Linked DNA regions of Drosophila melanogaster. Changing the gene in region 1 together with any one later gene gives a genetic interaction. Each region holds a gene or a part of one and is shown in the gene's direction. Other genes may lie near its edges. The genes, in order: kug and Sema5c.

The links.
Region 2: of kug (region 1) and Sema5c, changing one enhances a phenotype caused by changing the other (phenotypic enhancement), as found in Drosophila melanogaster (one study listed by BioGRID).

Annotation. Positions count from the first base shown.
Region 1 is NT_037436.4:20,004,421-20,009,593, forward strand, and holds the start of kug (kugelei), read left to right. Parts: upstream 1-2,163; 5' UTR 2,164-2,233; intron 2,234-4,379; 5' UTR 4,380-4,405; coding exon 4,406-5,173. Other genes in the region: CG7668 (uncharacterized protein), read left to right, coding at 1-129. UniProt on the Drosophila melanogaster protein: Required for the planar polarity of actin filament orientation at the basal side of ovarian follicle cells. Required for proper egg chamber shape and elongation of the egg chamber during oogenesis.
Region 2 is NT_037436.4:12,078,541-12,083,431, reverse strand, and holds the start of Sema5c (semaphorin 5c), read left to right. Parts: upstream 1-1,601; 5' UTR 1,602-2,080; coding exon 2,081-2,085; intron 2,086-2,473; coding exon 2,474-2,637; intron 2,638-3,391; coding exon 3,392-3,491; intron 3,492-4,891. UniProt on the Drosophila melanogaster protein: Regulates the motility of migrating epithelial cells by providing guidance cues within the migratory environment and may also play a role in development of the olfactory system. May act as a positive axonal guidance cue.

The DNA of each region.
Region 1 (5,173 bases):
TTGAACGGAAAATATCGGAATTCCAAAGTTGAGTTGGACACGACCGATGGCATTTGGTGGGGTAATTGGAATGTTGGTAATAGATATCCCCTGAAGTCGTGCAAAATGCTAATCAGACCAATGCCGTGAGCCAAGTATAATGGCTTGTCAAATAACATTGTCACGGAAATAAAAGTTGTAAAATAATTTCTACCTGTTCATTTTCAGCCTAATTATTGTAGAATGTTAAGTTTTAGTGTCGACCAAAGAGTGGATAACAGGCTTGAAGGTCCTATAAATGCTGTATGCTGTATTTGCAAGTAAAATCTAGCTTCGCTTGGTATTTTTTTTATCGTAATAATACCGACTTTGTTATTTTACGGTCGAGGGAAATTTACATGAAAATCCCACCAGATGGCGCGTTTGATAAAATCGATTTTATCGCAGGAATGCCGTATTAAATTGCCCAAGTTTCTATAAAATATAAATATATTTTGATAAATAGTAATAATAATACATAATAGAAAAAAAAAAAATAAAACATAAAAATCTGCAGAAGGCAACAAATTGCATCTAACAGTGAAGTGGAGCATTTTCCTAGCCTCACAAAATATTTAGCAATAACAAATACATTTGTCTAAAACATGTAACAAGTCAGACATATGCATGTTCTCCGCAATAAAGCTGGGATATTTTTACCAGAGAGGGTCAAAGGACTCAATAACAGAAGGGGAAATAGGGGTGCTCCATGCTCAAGCTGGTCCGGATGAGCTCGAAGTTGCTGTTGGAGGTTGCAGCTGGAGGTTGCAAGCGCAGGACATGGCCCAACTCGTTAGGACCTCGAAACGAAAAGTCGAATCAGTTGAATTTCTGTTCTCATTGACTGCGGTTTAAGTTGCTTTAAATCGCAGTAAACGGTGTGCGTCGTCGGTAGCAATTGAATGAGAAGGGAAAGTATGTTTCAATCGAAAGTCGCGTTGTTCCGTTAATATGACTCGAGCTTAGGCGACGATACGCGAGTCGATAAATGTATCTGCGCCCATACGCATTTCCAGTGCAAGTGATGTTTATCTGTAAAATGCAGAAATATGTACGTATTCGTGTTGTGTGCCACAAATACGTCCGAGTTGACCAATAGTCCACGATAATATTGCTTTACATATAAGTGTAACAGTGAATTGGGGTTGCATAACCCCCTGTGGTGATACAGATAATGAGAAACCAAATATATCCAACCAAAAATCAGTGGAATAAACCACAACATACACCTCCGCACAGGAAACTTCTGCGATGGTCTGGGCTACATTTCTTGAATTGCGAAGCCATTGCAATGAGGATTATGGGAAACCAAAGGGTTCCATTCCTTGTATACGTCCTAGTGATTTGTGATATTTTTAGGGGGCATCAACCTTAATTGACACCCAAATATATTGCCAGGGATCCATGTTTTTAATGAAAACTATAGCATTTAAATAAAGCTGTTTCCAAATTTTGATACAGTTTAAAGACTTTTTTCACATATCAGTTTGATATGTTCCTTTAGAAGAAACCAAAGCAACAACAATATTGTAGGCGAACCAAATAAATAGGACTTCATTTTAATTAGTTAAGTGCTTTCTTTAAAATTGCACTCGACAAAAACCAAAATATTATTTTTTATAATATCTCCATATTACAAATTTTGTTGTTATCTTAAATGCAGCCCTTTAAAACGTAAGATAAAGAGTTATTCGTGAAGGAAATTATTTTGTTTCAGAATTTATTTTTATTGGCGAACATACAAATAATTTAAACATTTAATTAGTCTTGACAATTGGTTTTGACCACTTGTTGAAAGGTTATTAAAGCGATTTTTTTGTATTGTTCGAAAATTTTGTATTTATTAGACAAAGGCCTCGCTTAAATTCGTGTCAATTCGCGCTTAGCAGTATAATCGATCTGGAAATTATCGGCTACGCACTATCGGTGCTGTCATCGAGTCTCGCAATATTCGATTCTTGCAATCGATTTTAGCATTTTCAAGAGAGAGCAATAGCGGGCGGAGTTATCGGCGATCGTAGTTAGTGGTGCATATGTACATGCAGCTGCCAATTAATGTGAGTGTGTAATCCGCGTCTAGAGTTCCGGAAATCAGAGATGAATGAAAATACAAACCGATGAAAGTGATCGCCCCCGAAGTTACCGAGCAACCAGCGAAAACACCGAATATTAGATAGTTCCAGACAAGTTGTGGGATCCACTCTAAATTACAAAGGTATACACACATATGTACCTGAGTGCGTTTGTATGTGGACCAAACATTTTCCAAAAAGATATATCAACCGAGAATTGTGCATTTCTGTGTTTTAAGCCAATAAAATACCCAGTGCCAGGTGCACGAAGTTTATCACGGCGATTCGGAGTGATGTGTGTGCGTGTGTTTGTTTACTTACCTTATCGGAAAATTAGGCCCACGAAAAAGAGACACATGTTATCTTTGTACACCGATGTGCTATGTACATATGCATCGCCTATGTATGTATGTAAATGCTGCACTGCTATGTAAAAATTGGAGTTAGTGCTCGTAATGGTGTGACTTTGTGGACTGATTTTTGGAGTGAGAATCCAGAAAAGCTAAGAAGAGTTCTCAGACATTGCTTCTGAATAAACATTAAAGTTGAAAGCACTCAGTGATTCACATGGCCTGTGCTCGCTAACCCGTTTCGACTTCTTTTCATGCCTTATACATATGTACATACATATGTGTGTATTAGGGTCTTATTACTCATATTTACCTACGCGCCGCACCAATTTCGCAACCTTCACGTTTTCATGAATCGAAAAGTCGAAAATCTCGTAATTTCCACTCCCAACATCCCAACAAGTGGCTCCCTCAGTCAAGTGATTATGCTGATCTGCTGTGCTAGTGAAAATTCATTTTAAAAGTGTTACCTTCACGGTTCTTTAAATTTGTAAACAATAAATTTGAGACTTGAAAGCGACGTGTTATGAAAAATATTTCAAACACTTCTTTTATTCAGTTTTATAGGAAAAATGAAGCTTTACTTTTCACACGATTGGTTTATTAGTTTTTCTTATCTGGCAAAGGTGTCAAGTAAGAGGGCTTTGTGTCGTACAACCTAACTACATGGATATCAAGATATGGAGAAATTCCCGTTCCTTGTGATTATTTACAATTTGAAGACCATCCAGAATGTAGGGCATCATTACATTATAATTCGTTTGGAATTCGAGTAATTTATGGTGGCATTGGTAGGCTGTGTCTAAAATATTACTAATGAATAAAGTTCAAAGATAACACAAGTGCAAAATGAGAATTTCATGACATACACCCGTTTATCTTCAGCAGTTTTTTTTAAATGTTCTAAACGGTTATTGTCATATCATTCTATTACATTGAATTCTATTCGTGTTTCCTTAAAAGTGAATAAGCCTTAAAGATAGAAAATGTTTTGTTTTTGGAAGCAAAGTGAATTACATTAATCACGCATTTTCGAGCCAACTAATTATAGAAACTACTATAAATGACATCAGAAGTGTGGCTGATAAGCTGGTCGTGCCCCTTTAAAAAAAAAATCTAGGTCAAATCGATTGCGGAAGGCTTCTCTTACAATTTTACTTGACGCCCAATCATCTTTTGGGAAAAATTTAAATTTATGCTTGTGCCATATGAACAAGCAGTTTTTAAGAGTGACATTATTGAAATGTACTTATAATTTTACCTCTTTGTTTATTTATGTTATAATATTTACAATTTGCTTCATTTGTGCACAATTCTTAAGCCTTAAATCAGGTACATTGCAAAAGTTGTTAAGCTTAAACACTTATTGTCAGATTGAAAGGAAGGTGAACAGTGGCGCAAATTTGCCAAAATTAGAAGCTGAACAGTTCACTTAATAGACGACTATTGTTGCTGGTAGATATAATCGGTTAGACAAAATGGAGCACTTTAAATCAATTATGTAGAAGAAAGATTGCAAATTCCACCAAACGTAGAGATGCCCATCTCGTCCGCCGTTTGAAATGCTTTCCCATCATTGGAGCATTTCCACATTTTATGCGAATTATATGTATTATGTAAATGTATTATGTACCATAAAAAATGGTTAAAACTGGACGTGTTAAATAGCCGAATATTTGATTTCGCCTCGCAATGAGTGATTTACATTACATTGTGTTGTGCCTATCTGATTAACAATTTGTTTAATTACGAACATTAAAAAATTAAGATATTTCCTCGTAGGTCGTTAATATTTAAATCCCTAATTCTAAATTGAGCTTAAACCAATGTCTTCGGATGGGATTACCGAATTCGGCTTTGAGAAAACACTACTATAATTAAACGATGTTCAAAATAAACACTGCCTAACAAAATGATTACCATTCCGTTTACGTTGCAGGATATTATGTGAAATAAGAGCAGTATATGTTTACTATGAAGATTAAAAAATATGTAACTCCTGTAAAAAGAAAAGCTTTCACCATACTCCAATGGATTTCACTACTGTGTAGTCTATGGTTGATCCCCACTGTACAAAGCAAGGCCGATGAGAAGCACACGGCGACCCTGGAGTATAGACTAGAGAACCAACTGCAAGATCTATATAGGTTTAGCCATAGTGTATATAATGTTACCATACCAGAAAATAGTCTGGGCAAGACTTACGCCAAGGGAGTATTGCATGAAAGACTGGCCGGCCTGAGAGTTGGCTTGAACGCAGAGGTTAAGTATAGGATAATTAGTGGCGATAAGGAGAAGCTATTTAAGGCCGAGGAGAAACTGGTCGGAGATTTTGCCTTCTTAGCGATTCGAACGCGGACAAATAACGTTGTGCTAAACAGAGAAAAAACTGAGGAATACGTTATAAGAGTGAAGGCACATGTACATTTGCACGACCGAAATGTATCAAGCTATGAAACGGAGGCGAATATCCACATCAAAGTACTGGATCGCAATGACCTGAGTCCGCTGTTTTATCCGACCCAGTACACCGTTGTTATTCCGGAGGACACGCCCAAATATCAAAGTATTTTAAAGGTCACAGCTGACGATGCTGACCTCGGCATCAATGGGGAAATCTACTACAGCCTCCTGATGGATAGTGAATACTTTGCTATCCATCCAACAACTGGCGAAATTACTCTCCTGCAGCAGCTTCAGTATGCGGAGAACTCGCACTTCGAGCTCACGGTG
Region 2 (4,891 bases), 7.9 Mb from region 1:
CTCCCGGATCGAATTGAAACGGATTGGACGGATGGCATCGGTCCTCATGTTTGTGTATCCCTTGGGTTCGTGCTGTGGCATAAACAAAATCCGAGGATCGTGTTGCAGTTGCATTCAAGTTGAGGTTACTGCACCTTCGGGACGGTCCATTTGATGGTTTCGTATTTGTTCTCAGCGACCAGCTGTGTTTTCACACTTACTCTGGGAGTCAAGGCTGACAAAGATCTGAATAGTACAGCCTGGGATGTCTGCAGTAAAAGGAAAACCTTGGAAGGAACACTAAAAAAATAGAACAAAGCCCCACCAGGTGAATGAGCAAAACTAATCCCGTGAAAATGCGTCATATCTGTTGTTGTTCCTTAAATAAGAACTTTATGGTGTTGGACTTGAGATGAGTGATTCAGGTACTGTAAACTGTTGTACAAAGCATTAAAACACCGTTTATACTTCATTATGATAAAGAAATAATTAAATAAGTGATAAATCATTCCTTTTGTATCAAAAATATACTATACTATCTATCTGTATAGAATGAGAAAATCTATTAAATCATTTGTTTTGGCGCCATTTCTATGATTTGCTAATCGAGTATCTTTGCTGATGGGCAAAAACGTCGCAAGGCGGAAAAGATAGGATCTGTTGATCCCTCGTCTGGAGGAATATATCACGTGTCCTCGAACCGCGACGTCGGCAATACTAATGTCAATTTGTCAGGCTACCAAATCGAAGCACAGCAAGTGCCCGTCCCACCCTCCAAGTGGCTTCTCTATACCTCTTCGCGGAGCTGCACATCCCGATCCCGATCCCGGAGATTCAGATTCTGATTCTGAAGAGTCGTTCTCGTTGTCGTTGTCGCATGATATATGAGCGCCCTGCCCAGTTGCTGCTTCGGCTGCCGTAGCCGCGCCTCTTAACTCCCAAGCAGACACTGAGAGAAATTCGTACTTACTTTTGTGGGATGACTTGAAAAATAAATTTGGATTGCTATTACTATCTAAGAGACTTGCCCTTAAATTATTCGATTTAACAAACAGTTCAGTTAAAATAATAAATTACAAAGATGAAAATAAGGTCTTTTAATTATTTTATTATTATTTTTTATTTTTATTTTTACAGTTGAATTATATTATATATAGTTTTTAATTCATTGGATTATTTCATAGGTAAGGACCTCAAAACTATGCTACACTTCTGTGTACTTATAAATTTTATGAATTAAGGCTTGAAAAGTCTTTAACATTTAAGATACTAGCAGAAAATCATTAAAAACGAATACACATAATTCTGAAAAATATTTCTTGAATAAATTATGTAAAATATATTTTCGTTTTTAAATTTTGAATCAAAGGAAAGCGAATTTTAAATATTTTTTTCCTTGTTGTATTGCACATTTTTTCCGAGTGCATTCTTCAAGCCGAAATTGAGCCGGTTATCTTCGTCGGCGTTTTAGCCTGTTCTCTCTTGTTTGCCTCGGCGTTTTTTTTTTGTTTTGCGTTCGTGCTTCGTTTTCACGTTTTTGTTTTCGTTCCATTCGCTTCTCTGTCTCACTCTCTTCTCTCTCTATCGACTGACTATGGATCCGAATCCGAATCCATGGTGGGTTCAGTTTCTTGCGACTCTTTGCGCGGTCAACTTCGCCGATCGGTCGGGCATGCGCGTCCGTATAACTCGTATCTGAATAATCATAAGAGTAGGAAATCGAGGCAGAAGTAAAAACCCGTCTCGCTATATTCGTCGACCGTGTTGTTGGTGTCTATCTGTGTCTTTTGTCAATGTTTTTAACCCAACTCCACTTGAGGGGGAGCCAATCCGCCTTTCTTCTGAAAATTTCTTTCAAATAATACGAAAATCGTATGGAAAATTGAAAAATTGTGAGTGTTGTGTGCAAAGTGAACCACGGTGATCGTAGTTACGGTCAGATCATCTGAAGAATCAGAAACACGCGCCTTGCTCGATTCCCCTGCTTATCAGGCACATGCCTATATTATACAATTTACCAACAGTCTTTTACAATCTGTTCGCCGCAAAAGTTGAATGGAATAAATTTTAGTCTTTTATTTTGCACGAAACGTGACACTAAATGAAGTAAGTTTCGACTATCTCATCTGTATAATCGACGTTTTTTGCTGTTTACAATTTTTGTAATATTTTTTGAGGAAGTGTAAAGTGCTGCAACAAAAACTTATTACTAATCTTCAGGACAGATTAAGGGGTTTCTGTTAAATAGTGAAACATAATTCAAAATGAAATATAATTTAAACTTATTTAAAAGCTAGTGTTTAAGGAATTATTGAAGACAATTTTAATTTAAAAAATTTAAGAACTGTTATTTCTGAGTTGAAAAGAGGATAAATAACATTTAAGAAGAAATTGAGTTAGCGTTTGTTGAACGTCGATAATTAGTTAAAAATGTATGAAAAACTATATTATATCCACAACACACATTACAACTTCATTTCTTTTCTTTTTGCAGCATGTTAATACTGAAACTTCCCAAAATGTTTAGCCAACTGTGGCTTCTTCTGATTCTATCGCTCTTAACCCTAGAAGGCCCACAGCCTTCGACGGGCAGTGGTTATACGACAAAATCAAGTGTGGATTTGCTGGAAAACGATTCGCGATACATCTCATATCAAGGTGAGTTCTCGAGGTGGGCGGATTATCAAAAATTACTCGAAACTGTGTCAATTGCACGGCAATCAATCAAGTTGGCCACTTGAAGCGGTGGAACTGTAAATTGGGTTGATGTCTGTCAAAGTTCTAAGTGATTCCGAGAGTCTGCTGCAATCGATTGCACAAATGTTCGGTTCGATCGAACAGGTGCCATTTCGAATACAACGAATACACCCATCTGCCCAACTGTTTGTATTTGCACGGAATGTCAACAATGATCTCGATTTAACCGAGTTCCCCAACAAACCGCTTTTATGACACCCCAATACATTCGTGTATCTGCTGCTTTTAATCAGAAAAAGTTTCGCATTTTGTTAAAATATTTGTTCTTTTTTTGTGATTTTTGCACTGAAATGTATCTCGAAGTCCGTCTTAAAATGCGAACTCAGCCCAACGTTGTGTTGACAATGATTTTAATTTTTGTTTAGCGCTTTTTTATTTTATTTCGCACTTAAATATTGAAAAGTATATGTTTTACCAATGAATCAGTGAATCTTTTAAAAACCTTGAAAAATATGGGTTAAATAAAATTGAGCTTAATTGTGCCAAGATGCCAAAATGTTTTAATAAATTTGCAATATAATTGCTGAGATAATAATTGCTTATATAATAATTGCTAATATAATTGCTAATAAAACTTCAATTAAATTGCTTAGTATTTGTTTTTACGATTTTGTGCAATCTTTTTCTTACAAAAATGTTTTTATTTTCTTAACAGATTTAATGTCGACGGCCAAACGATTTTACGATCCCGAAACGACCTGGTATTCGGAAATGCTATTCGACGTGGCCAGGAACCAAGTGATTGTCGGCGCCAGGTAAAAACCGGGAGGCTATTGTTATTAGTTATTATAGATTTTGTTTCCGGCCAATTGAGTCACGGCTAAGCCGTGTACCTAGTCATTATGACTGTTTTTATTTTTCCTGTTGCGTCAAAACCCCAAAGATATGTACTGTTTGAAGGACTTGCTTTTTAATTAGTCTCACCGATAAGTGGGTCATTATTTTGGGCATTGATAGCGATAAGAAATGAAAAGGGAAAACACCCCCGAAAATAAATCGTCACTTAAGCATTTGTTAACTTTGGGTTATCAGCAGAGAGGCATTACGTAAAATTCGACGATCAGAAGAAAATAAACAGATGCATTGCGTACGTAAAACGGGTACTGATTATATTCGTCTTCTGTGTTTTTTTAGCGTATTACGCAAGTTACAAAAAAATACACAAAAGTGTATAAAAATGAAAGTGCACGCACTGGTATACCAAAGATTTTTTACATATCAACCAAGATCGACCAAAAACAAAAAAAACCCCTCGTCGAGAACTTATCTCAAGTACCTGCTGTGCGCAAGTGAATAAATAAAGATAATTGAGTGTAAAAAAAAGAATAAAAAAATTAAGAAAAGAGGGAAAGGGAACAAAACCGAAAAGGTAACCAAATAATAATATTGCAGCGCCGAGGGAGAAGTGGTATACTCCGTTTATTTGTTGAGCAATTTAATATACGCGTTTCGAGATACAAAAGTATCTGTCGCTTTAGCCGGGTTACTCGGTTCTTGTAGTTTACTTTTCATTTACGCGTCTTGAAGTTTGTTTGTTTCTGCTTCGCATAGATATGGATGCGATACTACTCCACCTCTGTCGGAAAAAAAAACACGATAAGATACACACATGGACGCATGTGTCTATAGTGTCGTCATGTTGATAAACCCACCTTAACCCATTGCTGCCCGGGAAGGGAAGTCGTTTATCATGTTCCCTTGTCGTCAATCATTTGTCATACTTTTCAGTTTCAGTTTTAGTTGCCTTTTCTATTCTTTATTGCCTACGATTTTCACTTCGACCATAACTCCACTCTGCCATATTTTTTGTTGCTCTCTTATTTACCAACCTCTGAATTATGGCATAATGATAAGAGCCCGATATTAAAAAAAAAAAAAAAGAAAACCGTTTGTAGCGAAGGGCAGTTGCTCCATATAGAGGGAATTATGGTGCTGCCTGTAAGTAGGCGGCCAGATAGGCAAGTGGGCTTTATTAACCACATAAAACGTAATTTATTTTTATAATGTGTGGGCTTAGTTGATAGAGCCAACTAAGCAAAGGGACTAGACGGGTTTTTAGATAGCACCAGCCTCTGGGATTTCTTTTAACTTTTTGCCTTGAGACTGTGCTCAATACTTTGAGCTGCTTCGATGAGAGATAAACTTTTATTTTGTG